Linked DNA regions of Stegostoma tigrinum. The protein of the gene in region 1 interacts with the protein of each later gene in a pairwise test. Links are inferred from orthologs where the notes say so. Each region holds a gene or a part of one and is shown on either strand. Other genes may lie near its edges.

Region 1 (7,767 bases):
CAGTCAAATGACAGTCTTAGGTCATTTGTGTAAATTTCCACCTCAGTCAGATGGTGGTGGGTTGAACACATTCTAAGCGGACATCCCAGTAAGATACTGAGAAATTGCTGTACTGTTGGAGGTACTGACTTTCCAATGAGGTGTTAGACTAATTCAGAAAAGATTCCACAGACATTTCCCTGAGCTGAAGCCACTGAGATAAGTGTCTGCAGATGCTCACTTCATTTCTCTACTTTTCTAATAATTCTATGAAAGTAATGCTTGACTTTTTAAATCTAGTTTCTTTCACTATTTTGCAGCTAAGTTTGTTGTACCCTTTATACCCAGAATGGTGCTGTGAATGGCGATAGATATTCCATATCTAATGTCCCATTTTTCTCCAAAGTTCTTGAACAATTTCCAACCCATTTTTCCAGGAATTCAGGGCTCTTAGAAGCCCTCCAAATCAGGTTTCAGCCCCTGCCATTGCATCAAGACAGCTCTTATTGAAATCTCAAAGTGAAGTGCTAAGTGGCTCTGACAAAAGGCAAACTATTCCTTCCCATTCTTCTTGACAGGCCTGTGACATTGGTATCCTACAAAGCATCCTCACTGCTATCCAAGATAATAAAATGTGAGGCTGGATGAACACAGCAGGTCCAGCAGCATCTCAGGAGCACCAAAGCTGACGTTTCGGGCCTAGACCCTTCATCAGAGAAGGGGATGGGGTGAGGGTTCTGGAATAAATAGGGAGAGAGGGGGAGGCGGACCGAAGATGGAGAGTAAAGAAGATAGGTGGAGAGGAGAGTATAGGTGGGGAGGTAGGGAGGGGATAGGTCAGTCCAGGGAAGACGGACAGGTCAAGGAGGTGGGATGAGGTTAGTAGGTAGGAGATGGAGGTGCGGCTTGGGGTGGGAGGAAGAACAGGTTAGGGAGGCAGAGACAGGTTGGACTGGTTTTGGGATGCAGTGGGTGGAGGGGAAGAGCTGGGCTGGTTGTGTGGTGCAGTGGGGGGAGGGGACGAACTGGGCTGGTTTTGGGATGCGGTGGGGGAAGGGGAGATTTTGAAGCTGGTGAAGTCCACATTGATACCATTGGGCTGCAGGGTTCCCAAGCGGAACATGAGTTGCTGTTCCTGCAACCTTCGGGTGGCATCATTGTGGCACTGCAGGAGGCCCATGATGGACATGTCATCTAAAGAATGGGAGGGGGAGTGGAAATGGTTTGCGACTGGGAGGTGCAGTTGTTTATTGCGAACCCTCACCCCTATCCCAGGCCCCAAGATGACTTTCCACATTAAGCAGAGGTTCACCTGCACATCTGCCAATGTGGTATACTGCATCCACTGTACCCGGTGTGGCTTCCTCTACATTGGGGAAACCAAGTGGAGGCTTAGGGACCGCTTTGCAGAACACCTCCGCTCGGTTCGCAATAAACAACTAAGCTAAAGGCAGTGCAAGTCGCCATGGAAGTTTTCTTGAATTGCAACAGCAAAAATCGAAGTTTGGAAGTTATGTCACTGGGAAAATGTGAGGCCCACGGCTCTAAATCACCTGATACCCAGTACTAAATGAGCTGAGAAGTGTTAAGGAAAACCAAAATCTTCACTCCCAGCTGTAAACTCCATTGCCTTGCCACTGACTCGATCCCTCTCCCTGGTTACTGTGAGCAGCTGAAGCAAAAAAAAAATTGCATTCTCGGTGTCACAACTGAATTCAGGTGCAGATTTGCCCCAAGAAACGAAATTCCCTCCCCAAAACCTCTTAAATTCTCTTTTCTCCTTTCAGACACTCCCCAAAACATATTTGACAAAATAATGTTCATGGTCACTTGTTCTGAAACCCTACTGGGGTGTCAGATCTTATTTCAAAATGTTCAGTAAAAGGTCCTTGGGACGATAAGGCTCTATATAAACGCGAGTTACTGTTGTTATTGACTCCTCAGTTAATAACTGGAAAGAACGTCCAAAAAAAAGTGTTGAACGTTTCTCAAACTGGGAGATAACACATCAGGGCAGATGGAACATTGAGAGATTTGTAGCAATCGAAACAGATTTGAAACGTTTCCAAGCAGATATTACAGAATGATACACCATTCGGAGGAGAGGAATCGCGGAGATATATCCCAGTGCTGGATGACCAGCAGAGAGAAATAAAGTGTGGATTAAAATCCAGGACACTTTGGTGTCTTGGCCCTGGTAGAAGCGGGAATGAAACTGTGGAATAAAAGCAGAGGCCGGTTTGCGGAACACAGTTGGCCGGAAACAAAACACTTCGCGCCAAGTAGCAAGGAGGTCACCAACAAATTCACAGCCTCAGCGACCAGGCAGAACCTTTCTATCTGAAAGTCTTATTTGAAAAACAAATGCAACGTTATATCTGTTACCTTTTCCCTGAGAACATCGGTCCGAAGATGATCTGTAAATTGCAAAAAGAAAGGAAACATCCTTAAGATCAATTCTCTGATGATAGTGGCGCCTTTGGCGAGATACAGGAAGTGGGATCAAAAACGAAAAAAAAATCAAAACGATTGCAGAAATACTGTCTTAAAATCAGACCCACACCAAGTTTAACATGGGTCAATTTCTGCATATTTATCACAGATTCATTGAGTGAAATAAAAATATCTCAAACAATCTCTACAATGCTGGGTATCTCTTCTAGGAGATTCTGGTCAAGCTTTGTTTTAAAAACAGTGTCCTCGATTATTCTGAAGAATCAACAGTGTGCATTTTTATCCCCCTTACCTGAATCTGACCCTTCACTTTACGCGGAGATGAAACTGGGATTTCTGGGGTGTAGGAACAGTCCATTGTATCAGAAAGTAAAATATAAACAGTTATACAAACACCAGCTGATATAAATAGAAATAAAGATTGTGGAGCGGAAACAAAACAAAATAGATGCCCAGGAAAAAGAATAAAAAGCGAAATATAACAGAGTGATGAAAGATTCTGAGCGCAGAGAGAAACAGCAGAAAAGGGCAAAGCGTTTTCAAATTTAATACCCCCGCCAAAATTACGTCAAGAGATGAAAGTGACAATTTGTTGTCACGTGGGCCGAGCCAGCCAATAGACCTCTTTCAGTGACACTAGCTGATTTGTGAAACACCAAAAAACTACAGGCACCTATGAGATTGGAAGAAATACATTTTTAAGATAGCAGGATTTCCCAAAGTGAAGGTCATCATATCAGAACAATTGAAACATGTTGTCCTCAAATTAAACACAATAATCTACACAAAGAACAATACAGCACAGGAGCAGGTGCGTGCTGACTCATTTTGCCCTTCTGTACTAAAAGTGTCTTCAGTTACACGAGAGATAATGGGAACTGCAGATGCTGGAGATTCCAAGATAATAAAATGTGAGGCTGGATGAACACAGCAGGCCAAGCAGCATCTCAGGAGCACAAAAGCTGACGTTTCGGGCCTAGACCCTTCATCAGAGAGGGGGATGGGGGGAGGGAACTGGAATAAATAGGGAGAGAGGGGGAGGCGGACCGAAGATGGAGAGTAAAGAAGATAGGTGGAGAGGGTGTAGGTGGGGAGGTAGGGAGGGGATAGGTCAGTCCAGGGAAGACGGACAGGTCAAGGAGGTGGGATGAGGTTAGTAGGTAGCTGGGGGTGCGGCTTGGGGTGGGAGGAAGGGATGGGTGAGAGGAAGAACCGGTTAGGGAGGCAGAGACAGGTTGGACTGGTTTTGGGATGCAGTGGGTGGGGGGGAAGAGCTGGGCTGGTTGTGTGGTGCAGTGGGGGGAGGGGATGAACTGGGCTGGTTTAGGGATGCAGTGGGGGAAGGGGAGATTTTGAAACTGGTGAAGTCCATACTCATATTCCGCCTGGGAACCCTGCAGCCATATGGTATCAATGTGGACTTCACCAGTTTCAAAATCTCCCCTTCCCCCACTGCACCACACAACCAGCCCAGCTCTTCCCCCCCACCCACTGCATCCCAAAACCAGTCCAACCTGTCTCTGCCTCCCTAACCGGTTCTTCCTCTCACCCATCCCTTCCTCCCACCCCAAGCCGCACCCCCAGCTACCTACTAACCTCATCCCACCTCCTTGACCTGTCCGTCTTCCCTGGACTGACCTATCCCCTCCCTACCTCCCCACCTACACCCTCTCCACCTATCTTCTTTACTCTCCATCTTCGGTCCGCCTCCCCCTCTCTCCCTATTTATTCCAGTTCCCTCCCCCCATCCCCCTCTCTGATGAAGGGTCTAGGCCCGAAACGTCAGCTTTTGTGCTCCTGAGATGCTGCTTGGCCTGCTGTGTTCATCCAGCCTCACATTCAGTTACACGATCCACTTGCCTCTATTCCCTTCCTGTTCATGTATTCATCCAGGTGCATCTTGAATGTTGCCATTGTGTCTGCTTCCACCGCCTCTGGCAGTGTGTTCCAGGCACTCATTGTTCTTTGTGTGAAAAAAATTGCCTTGCACATCACTTTTAAACTTTGGCCTCCTCTCTACACCCTAAATGACTGTCCCCTAGTTATTAACCTCTCCACCCTGAGAAAAAGCCTCAAAATTCCCACTCTGTCAATGCCATTCACAATCTTATAAACTTCTATCAGAGATAATGGGAACTGCAGATGCTGGAGATTCCAAGATAATAAAATGTGAGGCTGGATGAACACAGCAGGCCAAGCAGCATCTCAGGAGCACAAAAGCTGACGTTTCGGGCCTAGACCCTTCATCAGAGAGGGGGATGGGGGGAGGGAACTGGAATAAATAGGGAGAGAGGGGGAGGCGGGCCGAAGATGGAGAGTAAAGAAGATAGGTGGAGAAGGTGTGGGTGGGGAGGTAGGGAGGGGATAGGTCAGTCCAGGGAAGACGGACAGGTCAAGGAGGTGGGATGAGGTTAGTAGGTAGCTGGGGGTGCGGCTTGGGGTGGGAGGAAGGGATGGGTGAGAGGAAGAACCGGTTAGGGAGGCAGAGACAGGTTGGACTGGTTTTGGGATGCAGTGGGTGGGGGGGGGAAGAGCTGGGCTGGTTGTGTGGTGCAGTGGGGGGAGGGGATGAACTGGGCTGGTTTAGGGATGCAGTAGGGGAAGGGGAGATTTTGAAACTGGTGAAGTCCACATTGATACCATATGGCTGCAGGGTTCCCAGGCGGAATATGAGTTGCTGTTCCTGCAACCTTCGGGTGGCATCATTGTGGCAGTGCAGGAGGCCCATGATGGACATGTCATCAAGAGAATGGGAGGGGGAGTGGAAATGGTTTGCGACTGGGAGGTGCAGTTGTTTGTTGCGAACTGAGCGGAGGTGTTCTGCAAAGCGGTCCCCAAGCCTCCGCTTGGTTTCCCCAATGTAGAGAAAGCCGCACCGGGTACAGTGGATGCAGTATACCACATTGGCAGATGTGCAGGTGAACCTCTGCTTAATGTGGAATGTCACCTTGGGGCCTGGGATGGGTCCCTAAACCAGCCCAGTTCATCCCCTCCCCCCACTGCACCACACAACCAGCCCAGCTCTTCCCCCCCACCCACTGCATCCCAAAACCAGTCCAACCTGTCTCTGCCTCCCTAACCAGTTCTTCCTCTCACCCATCCCTTCCTCCCACCCCAAGCCGCACCCCCAGCTACCTACTAACCTCATCCCACCTCCTTGACCTGTCCGTCTTCCCTGGACTGACCTATCCCCTCCCTACCTCCCCACCCACACCTTCTCCACCTATCTTCTTTACTCTCCATCTTCGGCCCGCCTCCCCCTCTCTCCCTATTTATTCCAGTTCCCTCCCCCCATCCCCCTCTCTGATGAAGGGTCTAGGCCCGAAACGTCAGCTTTTGTGCTCCTGAGATGCTGCTTGGCCTGCTGTGTTCATCCAGCCTCACATTTTATTATCTTATAAACTTCTATCATGGTTTCTTCCAAATCATTTACGTAGATCACAAACAACAGAGGTCCCATCACTGATCTCTGTGGAATACCATTAGTCACAACTCTTCATTCTGAAAATCAACCTACCCCCCCGTCTCCTATGACTAATCTGGTTCTGTATCCATCTTGCCAGCTCATCTGGATACCACGTGACTTCAACTTTTGAACCATTCTGCCATGAGGGACCTTGTCAAAGGTTTTACTGAACATCATCAACTTACACAACATCAACCATTTCTCCCTTATCATTCACCTTCGTCACCTCCTCATGAAAACTTGATCAAGATAGTGAGGCACGACCTCCCCTCCCACAAAACAATGCTGTCTATTGCTAATAATTCAATTTGCTTCTAAATACATATAGATCTTGTTCCTGAGAATCTTTTTCCAATAATTTCCTTACCACCAACGTGAAGTTGTCTACCTCTAATAAGTCAATTTTCTTCTAAATGCATATAGATGTGGTCCCTGAGAATCTTTTCCAATAATCTCCCTATTACCAACATGAGGCTCGCAGGCCTGTAATTATTAAACAATGGGACAACATTGGCTGCACCATTCATGATGTACATCAGTGCCCTGCTGTATTCACTACTGGCATCAAGTCCTGACACACTCAATAGGTAGTGGGGCTTGATTTCCAGCACAATGCCACAGTGAATCCTGACAAGGTTTGGGGTCTCTTTTGCTGGGATTTTGGCGCAAAGACAAGACAAGATTGAATGTGGAGTTAGTGTAAAGGAGAAGGATATACACCAGGTTTTGCATTTAAAAAGTAAGATGACAGTAGAATCTGCAAAACCTTTCCAGCAAATAGAAGAGGCATCTCAGATGAAGAGATCTAAAAGAGACCATAAAAGCCAAAGTAATTGAATTGGCAAGTATGTTAGATGTGCAATTGCCTGTCTGGGCTAAGCAGGCCAAGATAAGTATGAGCATCACAATTGAGCTGGGTAGAAATACATAGAACATAGACATAGAACATAGAACATTACAGCACAGTACAGGCCCTTCGGTCCTCGATGTTGTGCTGACCTGTCATACCGATCTCAAGCCTATCTAACCTACACTATTCCATGTACGTCCATATGCTTGTCCAATGATGACTTAAATGTACCTAAAGTTGGTGAATCTACTACCGTTGCAGGCAAAGCGTTCCATTCCCTTACTACTCTCTGAGTAAAGAAACTACCTCTGACATCTGTCCTATATCTTTCACCCCTCAATTTAAAACTATGCCCCCTCGTGCTCGCCGTCACCATCCTAGGAAAAAGGCTCTCCCTATCCACCCTATCTAACCCTCTGATTATTTTATGTTTCAATTAAGTCACCTCTCAACCTTCTTCTCTCTAATGAAAACAGCCTCAAGTCCCTCAGCCTTTCCTCGTAAGACCTTCCCTCCATACCAGGCAACATCCTAGTAAATCTCCTCTGCACCCTTTCCAAAGCTTCCACATCCTTCTTATAATGCGGTGACCAGAACTGTACACAATACTCCAACTGCGGCCGCACCAGAGTTTTGTACAGCTTCACCATAACTTCTTGGTTCCAGAACTCGATCCCTCTATTAATAAAAGCTAAAACACTGTATGCCTTCTTAACAGCCCTGTCAACCTGGGGGGCAACTTTCAAGGATCTGTGTACATGGACACCGAGATCGCTCTGCTCATCTACACTACCAAGAATCTTACCATTAGCCCAGTACTTTGCCTTCTGGTTACTTCTACCAAAGTGCATCACCTCACACTTGTCTGCATTAAACTCCATTTGCCACCTCTCAGCCCAGCTCTGCAGCTTATCTATGTCTCTCTGCAACCTACAGCATCCTTCGTCACTATCCAGAACTCCACCGACCTTATTGTCGTCTGCAAATTTACTAACCCATCCTTCTACGCCTTCATCCA
Region 2 (7,190 bases), on another chromosome or scaffold:
TTTCACAGAGTCTTGTGGCTCAGTAGTACTGTCTCTACTCTCGGCCAGGAGTTCTGGATTCAAGAACCATTTGCCCAGGGATATACCATAACATGTCCAAACAGGTTGATTAAAATTGACAAACGCTCTTTGAATGGAAAGTGTGATAGAGAATGGCAATTCCTGTCTGGGACCTCTGTTTCCAATTAACTGCAGTGTTTTGGGATGGGACTCTGCACTCTTGGGAACTACTGAGAATGTCAGTTTCCAGAAGCCACCAAACGACCAAGGAGATGGAAAACAGGCAGGATCAACTAACATTGCTTTTCTAATTTTGGTTGGAATGGCTGCGAGCTGAGAGATTCGGGCAGAATCTGAATCCAGCACTGACAGCCCTTACAGAACCACACCAATACAGAATCCCTCACAGTTCAGGACAATATCAGTCTAAGTGGGAGTACATGGATTCCGATAAATAAATTCCAAGCAATAGAGCTGAATATTCCCATTTAAAATTTAGTTATTGGGAGCCTCTGGTTTACCATTTGTGAGCAACTACATGCCATGTATCTAAGCTTAGGGCAAAAGACCCACATCAGGATTAAAGAGCTCTCTGCTGGGTTCTTGAGTTACAAATCACAGCTGACAACAGAAAAAAGAAACACAATTAATGCATGAATCTATACAAAGAAATCAAAAAGTCTTTAACTCGAAAATCAAAGGATTAAAACAAAGCTGTAAATCAGAAGGTCAGGCCCAGTGTTAGCAAAGATGAAGCATACAGCTTTTCCAAACTTTTCTAAATAATTACCATATCATTAACCATGCAGTTTTGATCTCCTTTTCTGACGAAAGACACTCTTGCTCTCGAGGGAGTGCAGCAAAGGTTTGCCAGGCTGATACCGGGGCTGGCGAGTCTGATGTATGCGGAGAGATTGACTAGGTTGGGAATATTTTCACTAGCTTTCAGCTGAATGAGGGGGGATCTCACAGAGACTTACAAAATTCTAACAGGGCAGGACAAGGTAGATGCGCAGGGAGGATGTTCCTGGTGGCGGGTGTGTTCAGAACCAGGGGTCACAGTACAAGGAAATGAGGAGGCATTTCCTCATCCAAAGAGTGGACAGCCTGTGGAATTCATTACCACAGGAAGTCACTGATGCCAAAACTCTGAATATATTCAAGAAGCGACTAGATATAGCACTTGGGCAAATGGGATCAGAGATTATGGGGAGAAAGCAGGTCGGGCTAATGAGGTGAACGATCAGCCAAGACTGTGAAGAATGGCAGAGCAGGGTCGAGGGGACAAATGGCCTCCTCCTGCTCCTATCTTCTATGTTTTTATCAATGTATCTGGCACAAAAGATGAACTGGACACAAATCCTATGGTTTGTATCTAACTTCATACAATCATTGGATGGAAAGGCAATGACCATGCTTTCCCAATGTATGTAATGCCTCTTCATTCCTCAAAGGCAGGGTTGGTACCTGATGCCTCGTTTTTAAGAAATTTGTTGCAACTTTATCTACTCAAGGTACTGGAACTATTTCTTCAAGGAAAAATGCAACTTACATCGCGGGTGAAGCCATCACAAAATAATGTAACATTTGAAAAATAATACTTGTTAGGTGACATCACAGTACAGACAGTTTGAACTTCCTTTAGAGTGTTCCAACTGGCAGTTGGGGGTAGGAACTAACACTTTTTGTTAAATGTCATTTATTGGGAGAGACTTACTCTCACTCTCGGTTTTAAAGTGTGACTGGTTTTGGGAGCAGCTCCCCCAGCTCAGCCGCTGGGATACTGCTGGCCCCTGTGGACACTCACTGTGAACAAGTAATTGAGTTGATTGCCCAGAAGCAGTTAAAGGAGGTAAATTCTGCCTGACACACTCACCTTTCCCATTGGCCTCTGCTTCATTTGCCTGGATCCAGGCTTTCCAATAGGCTTATGCCACCCATTGGCTCCATCCTTGCCCTTTCAAATTGTGAAATGTGTGTTCTCACCACCTCCTGTACCGTCTATCAGGTCTCAGCCTCTGAAGGTTTTGGGTACCAGAAGAACCTCAGATACTCTGTGTCTACATCCCTACTCTCACCTTCCACACACAATCTCGTGAAGGACCGCCTCTACTCTCCACCACACCGGTACCTGGCTAAGGAGAGTATTGAGCTCTGAAACTCTGTACCCCTGCCTCTGTGGGCGCCTGGCTCTGGACTGAGGGGGTTCTGAGCCCCTCTTCCCCAGCTCTGGCTCCCCGACTTTGGGGACACTTGCAGCTCAATTCCTGCCTCCCTCCAGCTCTCGGTCTTGCCGCGGCAGTGTTTTTTCAGCTGTCCATTTTAAGAGGCTGTACTCACTCTGGGTGATCTTCTGCAGACCCAGCACGTCCTCGGGGGTCACACACTCCTTCTTCAGCAGCTCCTCCTCGGTGGTGGCCGGAAGCCCTTCACTCGGCGGCGCCTTCTTCACCTTCATGCCGACCGCGTCCTGGTTCTTGGTGTTGCTGCTCAGGGCTTTGGTGCCAGAAAAGCTCATGTCTCTCCGGCTCCCTGCCCGGAGCCGAAGCTCTTGGTGCTGCCGCCGCAGGATCCGCTCTTTACCTGGAGCGGAAATCAAACCGTTACAATGTATCCAGTGCGGACTGCACCACCCACACGCAAGGGACACACACAATCACCCACCACTCCAAATAGACTCTTCCTCACTCCTTCCTCCCCCGCAAACAGCCCATTCATAAAATTACACAACATCAATAACTGAGGGGGATGGGATTTACCCCTCAAGCATCCAAACCTCTCAGTGTTACCCTGTTCTCTCTCATCGAATCCCTCTCCTTTCTGAAGGAATGGTACAATCCGTTCGCAATACCTGAGCAGTAAATTCGTTGATACACGTTTCTATTGCATTTATGTTTTAAAATATCAGCATGGGCTGCAGTTTTGAATATATAATAAACAAAGGGCGGAGCGTTGCGAGGATAGCAACTATTAGGATGTAAGACCATGCATTTCTGACAGCTTAATCTCGGGCCCCCCGGTCTCTCTTAAACCAGAGCTCCCACTACCGGGCACTAGCCGGTGTGTGCTAGAAAGCACCTGCGTACTGTACATGGCAAAGGCCAGTCTCCAGCCTTACATGTATAAACTGCACCTCAACCAAAACTCAGCCATCAGCATCTCACTTCGGTCGCACCAAGTGCTGATCACCACCCTCTGCTCGCTGACCTACTCTGGCTCCTGGTCCAGACACCCTCAGATTTTAAGATGAAGGTCGCTAACGCTCTGAAATTTTAAAAGAAAACACAAAAAAAAACACTGGCAGGGTCTGGACAGAAATCGAGTTAACGTTTCCAATCTCAATGTGACAAAGTGTGCAGCTGGATGACCACATCCAGCTGCACATTGTGTTATCTTGGATTCTCCAGCATCTGCAATTCCCATTTTCACTGATACAATCTCAATGTGACTCTTATTTGGAACAGGAAGCATTAATCTCGAAGAGGAGTCAAACTGGATGTGAACCGCCCCTCACTCCACAGATACAGTCGGACCTGATATCTCATTCCTGGACTACTGAATCCACATCTGTGTTCTCAAATCTCTTTTCATTTCCATCTCTTTCTTCCTCCAGCTCTAACCTGTAAGAACATACCAGGATCTTCCAATCCCGGTCTCTCTAATTTTAATCACTCCATCACCGATGGCCGTGCTGTCAGCTTCCCAGGCCCCAAGCTCTAGCATGCCCTCACTAAACCCCTATGCTGTCTTGAAGATGTTTAAGACCTGCTTCTCTGACTGGCAGTCTGGCTCCCCCTGCGTCTGTGTCAAATTCTGTCAGATAACACACTGGGAATGCCCTCGGATGTTACTGGTGCAGTGTGAATGAATTTGGACCAGTCAGCTTGTGCTCCTGGGAGGCTGCTGGGCCTGCTGTGTTCATCCAGCCTCATATTTTATTACCGAGTTTCTGAGTTGCCTGTTTCTCACAGACAATGGCTGTTCCAGAAACCTAGGTAAGAAAGACCACTTGTCTGATTCAACAGTCATTGCGGCAGCCCAGCAAAGTGCAGCACAAAGAACATGAAAATGCTCAAAAGATGTAGCAGTCACCCACAGCAGCAAGTCTTCAGTCTTAACGGTTCTCTGTATCATTGAAACCAGGTTTCTGTACCCGAGGGAGTGGACTGCTTTTTGTGCCACAGCTCTGCTTATTTTTAAATATTCCCTCGAAGGTTTTGGTACAAACATGTTGTCTTTTCAGAAGCCCTGCAGTAACGGGTTCATGGTGTAGTGGCCGATGGCAATGACCACTAGTGGTCATTGTTACTATCCAGCTCTTGGACCATGGCCGAAGGGCCTGATTCCACACTGTAGGTTACTTAATCTGCATACCTGGGATGAGAGAGTCTGGCAGCATCCAGGGTGACTGGGCAGTACTGTCCACCCTTTGAGAGGAAGGGGTTTGAAAATGTACCTGAAATATTGCCGACCCTGTCAACATTTTGCCAGTCTGCTGCAGCTGGCAGATCATCCAGAAAGCAGTTGAATAATGTCAAAATCAAAGAAAATAAAACAATTTATCACTGAAGCTTGGAATTTGCAAACTACTAGACAGATGACACAATACTGCCTGAACGGAGAACTCCTGGTTATCGCACTTAAACTTCTTGCAACTATCCCATCAAAATTACAGCACTCCATGAGACAACGCTTGCTGATGAGGATCACTAAAAGAAGACGGACATGTCTATACTTTTCTTCTGGAACAGGAAAGTGAGTAGCAAGAAAAGGATAGATGGTGAAGGTTTCATCATCAGGTCATCCCCAATGTAAGACACTTACACACTTCCTTCAAAATCAACAAGCACCCCATGCAGCTGCACTTCCCGCTGGAGTAAACATATCAAGTGACCATCATCAGTACCTATACACCAAATCTCAGCAGCCCTGAGAACATGACACAATAAATTGGAGGATCTGGATCAGTCCTGTCTACATCTGTTAGTAATAAGCTCATTCTCCTGGGAGACCAATGCCTATGTGGTGAAATTCAGCAATAACTGGAAAGGAGTTCAGGGAGATACAGGGTTTCCTGTATTTCCACTTTCCTGTTCCAGAAGAAAAGTATAGACATGTCCATCTTCCTTTAGTGATCCTCATCAGCAAGCGTTGTCTCATGGAGTGCTGTAATTTTGATGGGATAGTTGCGAGAAGTTTAAGTGCGATAAATGTAACAGCAACCCATCAATACTGAGCAAAGTGTCCTCAGCACATACGCTGTATTAACAACACAATGTTCAGACAAGTTGATAAGGTCAAAACACATGATCAACTGTATCACTGTGTGTCAGAGAGATCGCCAGGATGTACAGAATGGTAGACTGATCACAGACCTATGAGTGCAATAGTCAACTTGCAAATTGTTCCAACTCAGTACAGCTGACCAAAAGCCATCAGAGATCCTTCAGTATGGCTGAATTCAGTAAAACGGCTTGCTGCAACAAAATTGGTCAAAAGCTCATGCTGGCACACACTTCTATGGAGATTGTGTTGAGAAACGCACTAATTTAAATACATCATCAGTGAAAACAGCAAACATTTCTCAGACCAAATAGCTAAAGTGCATCAGGAGTTGGTTTGATGAAAATGAGGAAACATCTTTCAAATCCTGCAGGTCAAAAATACAGCACATCTGTAGTAGCAGAGTAATCCAAGAGACCAGTTCTGACACCTGAAAAGCAATGTCCAGAGAGAGCTGCATTCTTCCAAAGTATAATAATGGAATGGGAAGAATTACAATAAACAGACTTCTACAACTCAAAAAAGTTATTCAGCTCTATTCAATCTTGATATGGACAGGCTCCACATCATTACGGTAAGATAACAATCAAAATTCAGACAGATCCGAGACATAAATGAATGGAACAGTTCAGCAGGCTGATGAACATACCAACTACTGACATTTTCATCTTTTGGGCATTTAGCAAATTCCCTTTGGAAAGCTATGATTGAATCCACCCACCCTTTCTGTAGTCTATAGCTACTTCCTGCAGCGTATTCCAGTTCATACTCAACTACAACGTAGAAATGCTTTTCTTCATACCACCTTTGCACATTTGTCACTCGCTTTAAAACAACACTATTCTCATTACAACAACCAGAATAACTCACGTCAGATTTGTATGTTTCAGTGTAGGCCAGGTCGGAGAGTAGTTATGTAGCATGTCTTGCTTATCTGGGTAATAAGCACTAGAAAAAGTCTAAGATATAAAAGGTAATATCTGGTTTAACAGCCTGGTTGTTAGAATTAGGAGTAGGTTATTCAGCCCCTCAAGCCTGTTCTATCAATCACTGATGATCAGAAATGATCTATCTTTGTTCAAATATCTATTCATATGCTTTGCTATCAAAAAATATGTATCCATCTCAATCCTGAAGAGCTGCTTTCATAGAAACATTTGTGTTAAAACATTATCCAGGTTGTGGGATCTCAGTTTCACTCAGCTGCTGGTTGTCCAGGTTATATTGACTGAATAAGAAGATGCTATATCATGTTATTGGTGTTAAATGTAGTCTGGCACTCATGCAGTTCTGAGAAGGTGCTGCGTTGTCAGGTAAGATGCAGTTTGGACAAACTGGTACACTGCTGCCCTGTGTGGATATTAAAAATTCTACGGCACGGTTCAAAGTGTCCTTACCCATAATCATTCCTAAACTAAATCAATTCTCACCTGATTGCCATATGTTATTGCTCAGCTAAACACCCCCTTCTCCGATCAGAAACTGAGGCTACTTTTGTATCCCTCTCAATACTGTGGCATTTGGTTCTTATACATTGAACCCAGGATATTTGTCATCAACTCATAACAATATGGCACTTTCACCCAATGTCTTTGGCCATGGTAACATAGCTCCTAGTCAAAATCAGAACAAGGTGCCTACTCCCAAGGATCAGCAGCAAAGAAGTGAATTAGGCTTCTGGGTAATGATGGAGTGATCGCTCATTCCTCCCTCCACTCTGCTTCATTCTAATTTTTCTCTCCTTATTAACCTTTTAATCAATCTGTGCTTTTTAAAATATATTATGTCAATTCTTTGGATCTGCACCATTTTCAGTTTGATACCGTCTTTAATCTTCCTACTAAACCACAGATGGTGCATTTTCCCCTTGGAATTTTTATTTCTCACTAAAATGTACGATGATCACG
Region 3 (7,428 bases), on another chromosome or scaffold:
TTAAATTTTACAGCATTATATCAATCAAAGCAAAAGCCAAGTTGAAACACATTCCCATTTTTTTGGGCAAGCATGCATCAGCTGAGGAGATAATTTAATAGTGACCTTTTAAGAAGTAAATCAATGTCTTAAGGACTTACTATCAATCGAATCTTGAGGATTAGAAATCACAAAGTCACTACTTCTCTTGGGTAGCTTGCATCCCACAATTAATGCTTTCTTGGCAAACAACCAGAGTCAAAGCGCCATTTAATACATCAATCACTTGAGATTTGCTTTGCGCACATTGTCCACCTTCCTTGTGCTTTGTTTGTTATTTTAATATTCTCAAAAATAGTTTTGCCTCATTTCAGTTCATCAATTGAGTATCTACGCCTCATGTACAACAGCAGCTTCAGTTATCACAAATATACAATGCAGTAACTTATGACCGTTGCTTTAAACCTCAAAGAGCTTTTATTTCTCCCATCCCCATAAACTCCACATGCAGAGCCAAGCAGCAGCATCAGTTCACCTTAAATTAGATCTTTGTGTATATAAGAGCATTACTTACACTACACCATGCTCTGTGGACAATACATAAAACCTTCTAGAATAATAAATTCTGTTTATCAAGCCGTGATGATCATGCCAACTTTCCAGCCATACAATAACATTTGGATTTTAACATTATGTTGTAAATACATTTGTTTTCCTGTAACCCTAATCCACCATACAACATTAAAAAGTGAAATTTGAAATGAAATACTTGCTATTAAGAAAATGTAGCAGCTCTAACCAACATCTGAAAGAAAAGGTAAACATTCCAAGTTCTAATTAATGACCTGATCCAAAATGGTTAAGTTATTTTCTTCCTTCAGATTAGATTTGTTGATGGGAAATGTTTTGCTACTTCTACTTTACCATGCCCAAAAAAAATGTTTCTATAAAAATGAGCTTACCTGTTTGTGCATCTCAATATTCAATCCATAAGACATTTCATAATACTGTAAAGGAAAAAAAAATGATAAACCAAGTGATAGTGATCTTTTGATGAAACTGAAGAGTGAGTTTTCAGTAGTCTACTCCCCAGGTCAGATTGGATAACGTCACAAACTAATACCACGCTACTTCTAATTTTACAAAATAATTGTTTAAACTCACCATAACATAGTGTCGCTGCATTTCTGTCTTTTCACTTGCCAATTTCTCACATTCCAATTTTAGACTATAAAACACAAAATTTAAAAAAAATCTTTCACAAGATGTAACTGTCGTTACAAGGTCCAGTGCTTGTTACCGATCCCTAACAACCCCGAGAATGTCAACATAGGAACTTCTTGAAGCAACAAGAAAGCATCTTAAATAGAGTACCTACATAAGAGACTGCAGTAATGGCAAAAGCGGAAGTACTGGATAAATCAAAAGGACAACTCGACCCCTTGTAATGGACCGGATATTAAAATTCAACTGTAAACATCAAGATACATAAAGCAAATAAACTCAATTGTTCTAAATGGATAAAGTATTGACTTAAACCGAATTATACGCAATCGAAATCAGCTCATGTAATTTACGATTTTCAACGATGTAATTCATGAGTGTCAAAAAAAACAGTTCAGAGGGTTTAGATCACTCAGGCTCCTGGTTTCCTCAATGTGTGGTTTGTTGCAATCTTTTGAAAGGAAACAAAATCTGGCCGCAGCGAGAGCGCCGCTCTCTGGTGAGGCAAAGTAACCACTGGCTACCTACCGCAGACAAACCAAATAACACTGGAGCCTGGACTAACCAGCAGCAAATAAACATACTTTTCCCCGGCAGAGAATGGGAGACTTCTTTCACCTGTGATACTGAGCCTGTAAAAACTGGAACTCTTCTTTAATACGGTCCAACGATTCGGGGATGGTAAATTTGAAAGGCTGGGCTGCAGCCTGGTGCGGCGTCTGAGAAAACAGTAGGTAAGGAAACAAGAATTACAAGTACACAGAGATAACAGATCGCGAACGAATCAACGCGCAGCCTAGGCAGATTTATATCAGAAACTTTCCGACAGAAGAAAGCGACGAACACAAACACATGACACTGAAAGAGGGCAAGGTCCTCTGACAGAATTAAACACCGGACCTTTTGTTGGTCCAAGTAAGCTCAGTAGAATCAGTGATCTTCCTGCCCAACTTTCAGGGGGACAGTTATTGAGATGACATTGGTTCAAAACATAGTAATGAACTGATGTGCACGCAGATTTTTGGGAACCGGCTAGAAGTAGTTTTCCGCTTACAAAATACATCACACGACACGTTGCTGGTAGTGCAACTATACATTAGTCCGCTGAAGGTGTTTTCCTTTCCTTGAATAAAGATCACACAATGAAGTAACAAAGCGGTTGGCCAGGAGAGCTGCTTTCTCTTTACTTACAGGATGCCTGCTCTGAGGAAACATTGCTTGGGTCCGCCAGAAGCTCAGTTCCGTTGCTCAAACAATCGCTCGATCTTCTTTAAGAAACGCACATTAATAACAATCCCCTCTAAAAGAAAAATAAAGTGTTTACTGCAAGCGCATCCTGGGTTCGGATCCCCAAAAAGGTGGTGTTTTAAGAGGCTTTAAAGCCCTCAGGGAGGCTGGCAGATTCCGCTGTCCCGATTCAACTCCTGTCGATCTTTAGGACAACAAAACCTTTCGGAAAACAGCAATTGCCACTTCTGTAACAAGAACAAATTCCTAAGCCGCCCCAGGAAATCTTCTCGACTTCTCTTTTTTTCGATTGCAGTATATCCAATAGAATAAATATAAAAGGTATACCGTGCGAAGTTTAAGCGGGTATAATTGCTACAGTGGAAAACAATGTAGCAGTTTCCCCCACACAGACTGGTTACATTAACACGCGGTTTCTTCGCTTCCCCCCACCCCCCCTCGAGAGATCGCTCACCAAATTTAGACACGCGCAGTCTGAGGCTACGTTCCGTTCCATTCTACGCCAATCAGGATCCGGAAAGCGACCTCTGTCACACGTGGGGTTATGTCGTCATCACGGAGTGTTGCCCAATGGAAGGTGGTGACCGCAGGAGGCCAGCTGTCAGTCAAGCTGAGCGGAGACTGAACCCAGCAATCGCAAGACGGCCTGCCATTGGACTCTTTTTCCATTGGATACTATTGCACATCAATCACGCTGACGGCTTCGCCCTCAGACCAATTAAGGGCAGTATTGTGTCCGTTTGTCTCTTTCTGATTGGTCTAATTCTTTCACCCCGCCTTCGCATTGCCCCCACCACCCGCGCGGGCTAAACTGAAACGGTTCGAATCAAACGAGTGGCCGTCCGTCAGTCAGTCAGAGAGAGACAATAGGGCGGTGGCGGGCTCAGCTGTCACTCAAAGTAACGTGGGTTCCAAACACTGACAGGGGAAAAAACACAGACAGACGAGCCTTTGTCCCACCCACAACTAAAAGAACCAGAGCAGGAATGTTAACTAATTATAACAATGTAGAGAAGCTTCACATCTCGGTTTTGTTGCAGTGCATTTTGTCGGGCTGTTATGATTGTCGAAAGCAACTTTGAACAAAACGGTTTCCTTGAAGCCAATGTAATCATAATTTTAGGTCTTGTTATATACGAAGCATTAATTAAATAAATTGGAATTTATTTGGTAGGTACTTATGCCGCCCCTCCACATCGCTCCCCGCTCCCCAATTTTTATCAAGATCTACTTCATTTTAAGTCCTAGGTTTGGTAAAAGCGTCAACACATCAACAATGTTAGTGCTGAAATGCACATCAAAGCGGCCCACGTGTGTTTTCATTTCGTTTTACTAGAAAATTGTATCCAGATGTTTAACAGGTATTATATCGGCTTTTCCAGACTTGATTACATAGATTTATTCTGTTTACAGCTCTCCTCGCTTGTTAAGTGACACAAGAAGTATTCACGGTGAACGTTAATTAATTATTGGAAATAGTTATATGTGTTGAGAAACAGATTATATCTATTACAACCACCCCCGCTCTCACCTCCACCAACACCACCCCCACCCAGACTACAATTTGCTCGGGGTCCGGACTAGATTTTTGTTGGGGGAAAGTCTCGTGGTGATATTCTCCAGACAATACCTTCTTTGCACGCAGGACCTCTGTGAGCTGAAACTGTGGTAAATGTAAAGACTCCAGACCACACGCGCGATACCTAAAAGACGCCTTCATTTGTTTCAACTGCTTCATGACAAGAATCTTAGTACAATATAATATTCTTATTCCACTCCTAAGTAACTCATGGTATCGCTCCTGTCAAGGCGTCATGCCATCCGCGAACCCTTTACCAAGGTGTCGTAAAAATGCAGACAATTCCCCGTATTAATAACAAGTTAACTTTTAATATACATACATAGACATCTTACACAGTAATAGGCTATGGAACGATTAAAAAATTAACAATACACTGCACACTGGGAATGAGGACTGAATATTTCAAATGCGAACCAAAAGATCTACGGATTCTAGAATCAGAAACAAAAACAGAAATTGCTGGAAAAGCTCAGCAGGTCCGAAGAAGGATCACCGAACCCGAAGAGTTAATTCTGAGTTTTCTCAACAGACACTGTCAGACCTGATGAGCTCTTCCAGCAATTTTACTCGGTAGGTCTGGTAGCATCTGTGAAGAAAAATCTGAGTTAACGTGTCGGTTCCAGTGACCCTTCCTCAGAACAACTGATGTTTACCATCAATTTCTGTGTTTATATTTCAGATGAATCTGGTTTAGAGGGCAGTGTGCGATTATATGCAGCTGTAAATCAGTTCCCATTTTTAAACCACATATCCAGTCCTTATTTTCACATCATTATATCGGAGTATTCTATAAACAATTCTTGAGTTCAAATATTTCATGCTTTTGTCATGGTACTGTGTTTTTAAAACAATTTCTGTATGGTTACCATGCTGTCACACCATTTCAACTTTGCAATTACAGACAGCTTGTACTGCTAAGGGAAGATTATATATTTAAAAAATCATGCCCTGCTTTTCAAATTGCAAAATTTTAGAACAACTCTGCTAGATAACAACTAAATTTAAAGTAATATATGAAAATATGGTTCAACTTCATGAAACTCAACATTACTCCCTGTCCTTAATTCCTGCTTTACCTTAAAGTGCACTTGAATTTGACTATTTTTGGGATAATTTTCAACTGCCTGCCACAGAAAGGGCAGATGGCAGCAGCTGAAAACATTGAAGATGGTGGGCTGCTGGAGACTGGTGGTTTGGTATGATTGTCAGGTTGGAGTGAGAGAGGGTGAATTTTTTGCAAGGGTTAGGGGTATATATAAGTTTGTCAGAAGTTTCACCTTAACCTGCGCATTAATGCTATAAACTTGCGCATTGCAACTTCAACACAAATGTGTGGATGAGTGGGCTATCAATCCCCTGGAACAGATGTAGGTTGCTAAATATACAAATTAAAATTATAAACAATTTTCCATATATTGCTTAGAGAATCATGCACCAAACCTGGTTAACTAGCAGTTCTCAAATGAATTATTGATGGTTGCTCAATAAACAGTTAAGATAAGCTTGTTTTTTTTACATAAGTCCAAGAGGATCAACAATGCCCCTCTGGTTCTTGAAAAAAATCTCTCACTGCTGGTGTATTTGGTCACTACAACTTCTCGCTACCTTTCTATCCCCCCACTCCCCTTACTGTGCACTCCATTGGACTTCTTCCTGCCTGACTTTCCATCTAGATCAACATTAGATCTGGATAACTTCTAACTCCAAGAACAAACAAGGTGCAATGGGATCTCTCTGGGCATCTGTAGCTGCCTAGCAGTTTGCTAATAAATCCCAAGCCTCCAAAGGCTTAAGTTCACACCAACACAAATGGCAGGTGGAGCAGCTGCACACTTTCCATAATGCAAGAGCCCACACTCATCTCCACCTTCAGTGTGTGCTAAGAATTCTGGGTATTTACAAGTCTCCAAAATGCTAAATTTGCGTAGCATCAAATTCTAAAGACTAAATATGGTCTGATTGCAATCTGGTACATACATTTTTAACTGTGTTTTATCTTCTTACAACTTTTCAAACTTCAATGTTCATTGACCTCACTTAATTCTACTGTCTAATTTTATGTAATTTTTTTCCCAATGATACAGATTTCCTGACTAGAAGTGTGGATCTTTTACAAGATTGCAGTGCTAGAATATTGTTATAATGGAATCAGCTAACAAGGAATCCTATACTAAAACAGTTTTATAGGGCTATAACTCAATAATTATAAACTTGTTGATTTTAGCTAAAGTTCCATTAAACTCATAAAGTATCATCATGACTGATCTATGGCCTAATTCCATAAACCCACCTTTGTCCTGTATCCCTTGAAAAACAAATATCTACTAATCTCGGATTTAAAGCTTACAATTGATCTAGTATTAATTACAGTTTGCAATTCCAAACTTCTATCAACCTTTTTCCTGTGGAAGTGTTTCCTAACTTCTTTTCTTAAAGGTCAGGTTCTAATTTATATTCCCCTGGAACTAGACACCCAGCCAATGAAAAGAATTCATTTTTATTTATCCTACAAGTTCCCCTTAGTACTGTGCAAACTTTTTATCAAATCTCCCTTAAACCTTCTAAACTCAACAGAATACAATTGCAGTTTGTGGAATGCATCCTTGTAACTTATACCTGGATATAGCCAAAGGCTCATTATTTCATTTAAAGGGGAGATAACCAAGACTGGCTCCTCAATGCATTCTAGTGCTCTTGTTACACAGCAGTGTCAAGATTAAAATTTGCTCTTCAATTTCAAGTAGAGCTGATGATTGGGGGAGAACGTATAGATGGAGTGGAGAAGGCAAAAGTGTCAACCATTTGCATAATTCACTGTTCTAGGTGGAGGTATATTTGAATAAAGCACACATCTATCTGGAAATATGACATCAATAGTTTCAAGCAATAACCAAAAACCTTGATTTATATTTGCATCCATTTAGAAAATACTTCACATCAGATAAGCATGCAATTGGAAGCATTATATAGAATAGGATATACTATTTACATAACCCTGCAACTATCTTATTTATCCATCATGCAGCCAATGCAAACACTTCAGCTGTATAATCAAGTAAGTTTCTGATTCAACCCCTCAGTGACATTGTATGCGACACAGCAACACAGAGTAAATTTACATGTTTACTATGTAATCAGAGAAAGCAGTCAAGGTGAAATCTAGTCACTACTAAAGCAGGTCTCTTCAGTGGTTAGAAAGAAGCTGACAAAAAGACTGTTGATCCTTGCATCTTTTTATTATCACAGATGTGAAGATCTACATATTTATATCTGTTATATAGTACAATTAAATCTCACCTGGGAATCACAAGGAAACTATTGTACTGTATTGTGAATTTTAAATCATTTAAATTGTGATTCTTGAATTAAAAATAAACAAGCTTGGTTTATGATCA
Region 4 (7,532 bases), on another chromosome or scaffold:
GTGAGTTGGGTAGTATTGTACAGTTCTGCCTTTCAGTATAGGGATGGCAATTCCATTAGATGTGGTTAAACAGCTCTAACTCTACATTGGAGGCCCGATGTGATGAGTATATATAGTGAACACAAGTGCCAATTTGAACTCTGGCATTTTACACAGAGCACCAAAACCATTTCATAAGGGTTAAGGGGAAGTTAGAGAAAACATGACTGCTCACAAAGTGGGCAACAGACAAAGGACTATATTGGCAGTGCTAGAAAATACAAGCAATGCAGCATTTGAAAATTACCACTGGTCTTTTAAAAAGCCATTTCTACTAAGTTAACTTTCCACAAACATTGTAATTCCAGGAGAAAAACCAGACACTCAAATGCAATTCAAAGTTATTTGCAATAGTTATTTATTACATCTTCACTCTCCATGTAGAGCTTGCATCAGTATTGTTCATAGATTTTACACAAACTACACCAGATACCACCAGGGTCTTGTGCCACAAATTTCAATTGTGCAAAAGATTCATTCTCACTCAATGTATTCTTTAAAAAAGTTTTTAAAAATTTACATCATAAATTTTAATTAGCAGCCAAACAAGAATTTTCTCCAGTTGAGCGTCGAAAGTCACTGGAACTTCAGCCGAGTGGAAATATTTCTCATTTCATTGCTGGCTGTGGTGCACAGTTTGTGAAAGATTAGAATTATTTAACGTATCTATTCTGAATAAATACTGGTAACCCACCCAAATAAAATTCTGCTACATCACCAAACGTTTGAATAAAAAAAGTTACTTTTTAAAGGGCGGATTTAGGGAGAGGTGAAGGTAGTATTGGTGATCGTGGTGTACTCAACTTTCCATGCCTGCATGGCCAAGAAAAACGTCACTTAAGACACATCACAGCTACATCAACACTCCGCTTCGTACGGCTTTAAACATTAAAAACTTGTTACGAGGACAAACCAGCACACTTGGAAAAACAAACGTTTCAAAAGAAAAATCGGGAGTTAGATGAGGTATTTGGAAGTCATTCACACGGCCGTTTAACAATCGAGGACCACAGCCCACCCTGGGCATTTAAGTCTAGAACGAACACTAAGCAGGAAAATAAATAAAACAAATATATATAAATAAAAGTTCACTATGGTACATATGGCGATTTTCTTGGCTTTTGAAGCAACATTTTCCATTCCAACTAGCACGCCAACTTAAGGCACGCAACACCCACTAGCGGCAGGTACAGGTCGTAGCGATCATGTCTTCGTACTCTTTGTAAACTATAGAGCCATCGTTTTCCAGGGTTAACACGCTCAGTGGATTATATTTGGCGGGGACACAGGAAGGGCGAGGAACTGAAGAATCCACTTTTTCGTAGAGGATGTTCTGGATCAAAGTGTGCACAGGGGAGCCGTAGCGGTGGCTCAGTGCCCGGGGACAGCTGCCCTTGCAGAAGCGAGGGTTGTAGTTATGCGGTGCAATGATCCAGCGGTCCCACCGGAGCTGGCTAAAAGACAGTCGGAAGTCATGCAGCTGACACTCGTGATCCGGGTACGGGAAAGGCGGAAAGGCAGCGGGAAGCGCCTGCTCACCACCTTGGGGATCTCTGCGGAGTCGGATGGATCTCACGGCCACCTTCCTCCCCTTCCGTCCACCGGAGAGGAGGCTTCTCTGGGCATCCGTCGGCAGCCAACTCCGATGTGACTCTTCGCCGGTGTCGTTGAGGAACAGGAGCAGGGAAGGAGCCGGCAGGCTCGGTCTGAGCCCGCTGCGACCTCCCTGTCTCCGGCAGGCCTCGGTGCACTTATAGGTGAACACCGCGTGTAGCTGCCCCCGGTCGGGGCCGATGAACGGCTGCAGGAAGGAGGAGAGTTCCACCTCCAACCACTGGCGCCTCTTGCGGCGTTCGAAGCGAAGGCGGAAGGTGTATGAATGCGGAGAGCTGGAGCACATCTGAGCATGATCCCCCTCCTGGACGGTGAAGCTGCAGTTACACACAGTCGGAAAGCACGCTGATTTATCGATGGGGTACAGGAACACTGATCGGAGCAATTGCTCCCGCGAGGTCACAGGATCCAAGCCATAAAATACATCCTGTTCAAACGCATCTGCAAAGAAAGGGGAGGAATTGACATGAAACTCAAATGTCAATATGGGACAGGAACCAATGGGTTTTAAAACTAAAGCCCAAAATTGTTTTAAAAGCAAGTTGAATTGCTTTTAAAATGCAAATAACCTCGCAGTTGTAATAGACATTAACAATAACGACTGTAACCACCCCCGCCAAAGCTAAAGCCTAAAATAATTTTAAAAACAAGGTGAATTGAGTTAAAGATGCAAGCAATTTGTTATTGATAGGATTGAAATTAAATTACCTACCAACCCACCCACCCCCAAAAATCAGAGGGCGCAGTTGTAACGTGTTCATAAATTTGGTCCTTTTCAATCTACAACAATCGTAAGAGACGCTGAACATGCTTCTATTCAAGTCTTTTTAACACCAGAATCTTGTAATCAATGGAGTTTAAAAATGTATTTCCCTCCGCTCTTCACAGAAAAAGCAATGTAGAGATTATGTATGAAATAAATAATGATGTTTGAAGAGCAAGTATCTACATTCTAAATTCGATGTTACCTTCCGCGTCACGGAATTCGACCCGGGGTTTCAGCAACCTCACAGTATTATATTGCTGAGCTGCAGGTCTTTTCGGTATTCCATCTTGCGTAGCGCACTTAGTATATAGTCTTTTCATGTATTTTAAATCGGGTTTTGTAGGAATCTGATAGTCCCAGCCGGGCTTTTCCGTTAACACTTTTAGAAGAGGAACCGGGATATAATCCTGGGGATTTGAGGTTACCTCTGGACCGGCAGAGCTGACGGATGTGGTGAGAGAGATACAGCTACTTAACAACGCTAACCAAACACTGTAATGAAGATGCATTATAGCGCCTTTTACACGGCGCATCATTCTCAAAACGAAGATTAAGCCGCCACTAACCCACTCAAAAAAGTTACTCAGCTCAATAGAATTAGAAACAGATGGTCTCTGACCCTTATAAAGAGGCTGTAATCGGAAGGGGGGGGGGTGTAGTGCGGAGAGGGAGTGTGAGTCAATAATCTTATTAAGGCTATTAAGAAACATAATTTAATAATCGGTAAAGTGACGACCCTTATATGACACGCAAGAATACTGAGATTGTGATGAATGTGAATTAAAGATCAACACGGTTTGTCAATCTGGAACAAGACTTGCATTACCAGATTATGAATTAATCAGAAAAAGTGAAGTAACTCGTGATAAAGCTGCCACTTCAAAGTTTCATTTTTAAGACTTTTCAATTATTTATTATGACTTCGCTGCTCCTTATATACCCCCCCTTCCCCCACTTGTTTTGTGACTCCTTTCTTTGCCATTATTGTTTAGTTGTGGGTGTAGGTGATAGTCTTGCATTAGCCGCCTTCACTATTAACGTTAATTCCGATCTCCCACAAGTTTCATTTCACGTCCGTGATTCTAATTCCCAGTCTGCTGTTAATTTTTCCTACCTTTTGCAACCTGTGTAGCTGCTAATATGTCCCACGAGTTGCCTAAAGGGGTTTCCTTAGCAGTAACAGATTTGGATCAGTAAATCGATTTGATTATCGTTTTAGTTACAAATGCGTGGTATTGGAGTGCTCAGAACAAATCGCTTGAAATTTTAATCCTCTCTTCATAGATGTGCCAGGGCTGTTAAGTGCATTATTTTCCGGTTTTATTCACGATTCCCAGCAAATGTATTGGGTTTTTCCTGTCTCCGTACGGCATTAAACATGAGACAGAGTTGAGGAAAAGTAGGTGGTCAGGTTTTATAAACACTTGAATATGCGAAAACACTTTTTGCATTTGTTTTAGATGTTCAAAGTGTATGCTGTGGTTTTAAATGGTCACGTTATACCTGTGTCTTGTTATTTAGGAATGTCTATATAATTTACATGCCTAATATTTACTGTTGAGAAGGTGGTGAGCTGCCTTCTGTCACACTAATGAAGATACTCCTACAGAGTTGTTGTGAGACTGAGGAGGATTTTGATCTGGTGACTTAAGATGAAGGGCAATGTTTTCAAACTGGGATGATTGAGGGCAACTTGTGAGTAGTGGTGCCCCTTTGTGTCTGCTGTCCTTCACCTTCCATTTGCTAAAGCTTGAAACATCTTGTTGAAGACTTCTTGGAAAGTGGCTGTAGTACACCTTGGTTGTTGGCATACACTGTTTGCACCATTGCAATGATGGTGGAATGAGTGAACTTTGAAGGTGCTAGATAGGATACTCTTCTAGCATCCTGCCTTATCCTGGATGTTGAGTTTTGCCACTGTCCTCATTCAGGCAAGTGAGGAGTATGTCATCTTATTCTTGACCTGTGGCTTGTGAATGGTAGATGTGGTTTAGTATGTTAGATCTGTCATCTGCAGAATACCCAGCCTCCTTCCTTCACTGCCAATCACTGCTTATATGGCTAGTTTCAGTTTGGGCTTCTGGTAAATGGGGCCTTTTTTGGTGTTCATGTTAGGAAAAATCCATGATTTGTAATGTTGAGGGAAATGATTGAAAGTGGTCGAAGCTATGCTGTATGTGGGTGTAGGTTGTTTCACTTCTTTAGAAGCTGTGAATGGAATCACTGGGCAATGTCCCACTTTTGACTTCTTGTGATGGAAGGAACAGCTTTGAAAAAGCTGTAGATAGATTAACTTGGGATAATGACCTGAGGAATTGTTGGATGCTCTAGCATCTCAAAAGCAAAATTTTGTGCATTCTGGAGATCTAGAAAAGAATTAAATTGGAAACCACTCTGGTCTGGTAACTCTATATGGAACAAGAAATGATTCATTTTTTAAAGTCAAATGTAAATTATCTTCAGAATGATGAATGGTAGAAATATGATGGAGTATTATGCTCTTTGAAAATAAGAGAGTGTCGGGTGGAGAAACCCATTCCTGACCGACCTTCTGTTTCACCTTTCAGTTTTTTAGATGGTTGCATATTGCATATCTGTTCTCAGAAATTTATATGATGCTTTGTTCTATTTTTAGATGCTAGCAGATTGTAACCTAGTCTACTTTCAGATGCAGAAGTAACATCTTTTTTAGTTGCTCTCATTGTGCATTATTATTTTCAATTTTAAAAAGCTACTGGGAGGTTTTTAAAAAAAAATTAGTCTGCAGTATACAGCATTGAAATGGACCGTTTGGTCCAACTCATCCATTCTGACCAGATATCCTAAATAAATTTAGACCGATTTGGCTCATGTCCTTCTCAACTCTTTGTTTCTACTCTCCCCTAGATGCACTTTAAACTGTTGTAATTGTACCAGCCTGCATCACCTCATCTGGCAGCTCGCTCCACGTGTGCACTACCTTCTCTGTGGAAAAAGGTGCTCCTTCGTCCTTAAATCTCTTCCCCTCTCACCTTAAACGTATGTCTTCTAGTTTTGGAATTGCCCCACGCTGAGGAAATGACCTTTGTCTATTTACCCTATCCATGCCACTCATGATCATTTATAAACCTCTATAAGATCACCGCTCTGCCTCCATCACTCCAGGAAAAATAACCCCAGCCTATTCAGCCTCTTCCTGAAGCTCAAACCCTCCAACCCTGGCAACATATTTGTAAATCTTTTCTAAGCCCTTTTGAGTTTCACATAATCCTTCCTATAGGAGGGAGACCAGAATTGCATGCAGCAATTCATAAGTGGCTGAACCAATGTCTTGTGCAGCTGCAACATGACCTCCCAACCCCTATATGCCATGAGCTGGCCAATAACAAAAGCCTTCTTCATTGTCCTGTCTACCTGCCACAGCCCTCCAAGGTCTCTTTGTTCAGCAACACACTCCAGGACCTTACCATTCAGTGTACACGTCCTGCCCTGATTTGCCTTTCTAAAATGCAGCAGCTCCCATTCATCTAAATTAAACTCCATCTGTCACTCTTCGGGCCATTGGCCATCTGATCAATATCCATCGTACTCTGAGGTAACCTTCGCAGTCCTTAACACCTCCAAATCTTAGTGTCATCTGCAAACTTACTAACAATACTTCCTATATTCGTATCCAAGTAGTAAAATGCAGAAGTAAAGTGTAAATCTGTTGGGTCTGTACTGGAATACTGTTCTGTCATTCTAATTTGACTATACTTTTTGGAAAATATGTTTTTAATATTTGCAGAGGCATAGTGCAGATGCACCTGACAGGGGCACCTTTAGATCAACAGGTTTCTTGAACTTTATTTGAGATCAACTGAATTTGGAAAGTATTGAGCTCACAAAGGAAGCAGATACAGATAAACAGTATACACTATTTGGGGAATCCTGAACAAGGGGTCAGAATCTTAATTTCCCTTTTTAGGAGGTGAAATAATTAAGCACTTTTTTTTAAAACAAGAAGTGGAAGTGAGAAACTCTACCTCAAAGAGCTCATGAAGCTAACTCAATTGAGATTTTTAAGATTGGTTTGAAAGGTTTTGTTTAACAAGGGTATTTGGGGATAAAGTGGGTAAATTGGGTTAAGATGCTGGACTGCAGAAAAGGTTAAGAGACTGAATGACCTTTTTGTGTCCCTCTATTTCCAAACACTTACACATTTGTCTCTGTTTTAAGAGCTCACACATTGTACATTCTGATGAAGGGTCTAGGCCCGAAACGTTAGCTTTTGTGCTCCTCTGATGCTGCTTTGCCTGCTGTGTTCATGCAGCTCCACACTTTGTTATCTTGGATTCTCCAGCATCTGCAGTTCCCATTATCTCTTGTACTTTCTAGTGCTCATTTTACTTTTGTTTTATTTTAATTACTTACATTTGTTGCATATTCTGAATTAGTCCTAATCAAGAATTGTTGAACATGGAAATCAAGACTGACACCCTAATCCAATAATCAAGGAGTGCTGCATTGCCTGAGGTAATCTTTTCAATGAGATTCAAAAGTTGTTGGGAGTAGATGGAAGAGATAGTAGGAACTGCAGATGCTGGAGAATCCGAGAGAACAAAGTGTGGGGCGAGATGAACACAGCAGGCCAAGCAACATCAGAGGAGCAGGAAAGCTGACGTTTCAGGCCTACACCCTTCCAAAATGTCAGCTTTCCTGCTCCTGGGAGTAGATGGAAAGTAGTTTTTAAGCCATAAACACATTAACTATGATTTTTTGGAAAATGGTGAAGTAAGTAGCCTGAATGGTCTAGCCATGCTCTTAATTTGTATACTAAATTGAGGCCCATATACTCCAAAGGGAATGTAAAAGATCCTATGGCATCGGCTGAAAAGAAGGTTTTGTTTTGGGGGTTGGATGCATTATTTCCCAGTGTCCAGAATGTTATTTATCGCCTAGCTGTCGATCTATAAAATTAAAACTTTATCCAGCTGCAATCACCATTCTGTTCATGGGAACTTTGTGCATAAATTGTCTTCTGTGTTGCTTGCATTGCAACAGTAATTGTACTTATTGACTGTAAAGCATCTGGTGGTTGTGATAAATGAATACATGATTTTATGAATCAATAATTTTATCATGACATTTTTAC

What was found.
Region 2: the proteins of tk1 (region 1) and unc119a interact in a two-hybrid assay, tested with the Homo sapiens proteins (2 studies listed by BioGRID and IntAct). The link is inferred for Stegostoma tigrinum from reciprocal best matches to the Homo sapiens genes TK1 and UNC119.
Region 3: the proteins of tk1 (region 1) and transducin-like enhancer protein 1 interact in a two-hybrid assay, tested with the Homo sapiens proteins (2 studies listed by BioGRID and IntAct). The link is inferred for Stegostoma tigrinum from reciprocal best matches to the Homo sapiens genes TK1 and TLE1.
Region 4: the proteins of tk1 (region 1) and gdf9 interact in a two-hybrid assay, tested with the Homo sapiens proteins (2 studies listed by BioGRID and IntAct). The link is inferred for Stegostoma tigrinum from reciprocal best matches to the Homo sapiens genes TK1 and GDF9.

What each region holds. Positions count from the first base shown.
Region 1 is NC_081375.1:15,188,057-15,195,823, forward strand, and holds the start of tk1 (thymidine kinase, cytosolic), read right to left. Parts: upstream 3,002-7,767; 5' UTR 2,792-3,001; coding exon 2,726-2,791; intron 2,397-2,725; coding exon 2,365-2,396; intron 1-2,364. UniProt on the Homo sapiens protein: Cell-cycle-regulated enzyme of importance in nucleotide metabolism. Catalyzes the first enzymatic step in the salvage pathway converting thymidine into thymidine monophosphate.
Region 2 is NC_081380.1:47,276,155-47,283,344, reverse strand, and holds the start of unc119a (protein unc-119 homolog A), read right to left. Parts: upstream 3,012-7,190; 5' UTR 2,988-3,011; coding exon 2,852-2,987; intron 2,820-2,851; exon of another isoform or gene 2,805-2,819; coding exon of another isoform or gene 2,777-2,804; intron 2,584-2,776; coding exon 2,341-2,583; intron 1-2,340. UniProt on the Homo sapiens protein: Involved in synaptic functions in photoreceptor cells, the signal transduction in immune cells as a Src family kinase activator, endosome recycling, the uptake of bacteria and endocytosis, protein trafficking in sensory neurons and as lipid-binding chaperone with specificity for a diverse subset of myristoylated proteins.
Region 3 is NC_081356.1:61,834,578-61,842,005, reverse strand, and holds the start of transducin-like enhancer protein 1, read right to left. Parts: upstream 3,013-7,428; 5' UTR 2,906-3,012; intron 2,877-2,905; exon of another isoform or gene 2,504-2,876; 5' UTR 2,419-2,503; coding exon 2,395-2,418; intron 1,923-2,394; coding exon 1,822-1,922; intron 1,208-1,821; coding exon 1,144-1,207; intron 987-1,143; coding exon 942-986; intron 1-941. UniProt on the Homo sapiens protein: Transcriptional corepressor that binds to a number of transcription factors. Inhibits NF-kappa-B-regulated gene expression. Inhibits the transcriptional activation mediated by FOXA2, and by CTNNB1 and TCF family members in Wnt signaling.
Region 4 is NC_081366.1:23,291,568-23,299,099, forward strand, and holds gdf9 (growth/differentiation factor 9), read right to left. Parts: upstream 3,002-7,532; 5' UTR 2,956-3,001; coding exon 2,622-2,955; intron 2,095-2,621; coding exon 1,217-2,094; 3' UTR 381-1,216; downstream 1-380. UniProt on the Homo sapiens protein: Required for ovarian folliculogenesis. Promotes primordial follicle development. Stimulates granulosa cell proliferation. Promotes cell transition from G0/G1 to S and G2/M phases, through an increase of CCND1 and CCNE1 expression, and RB1 phosphorylation.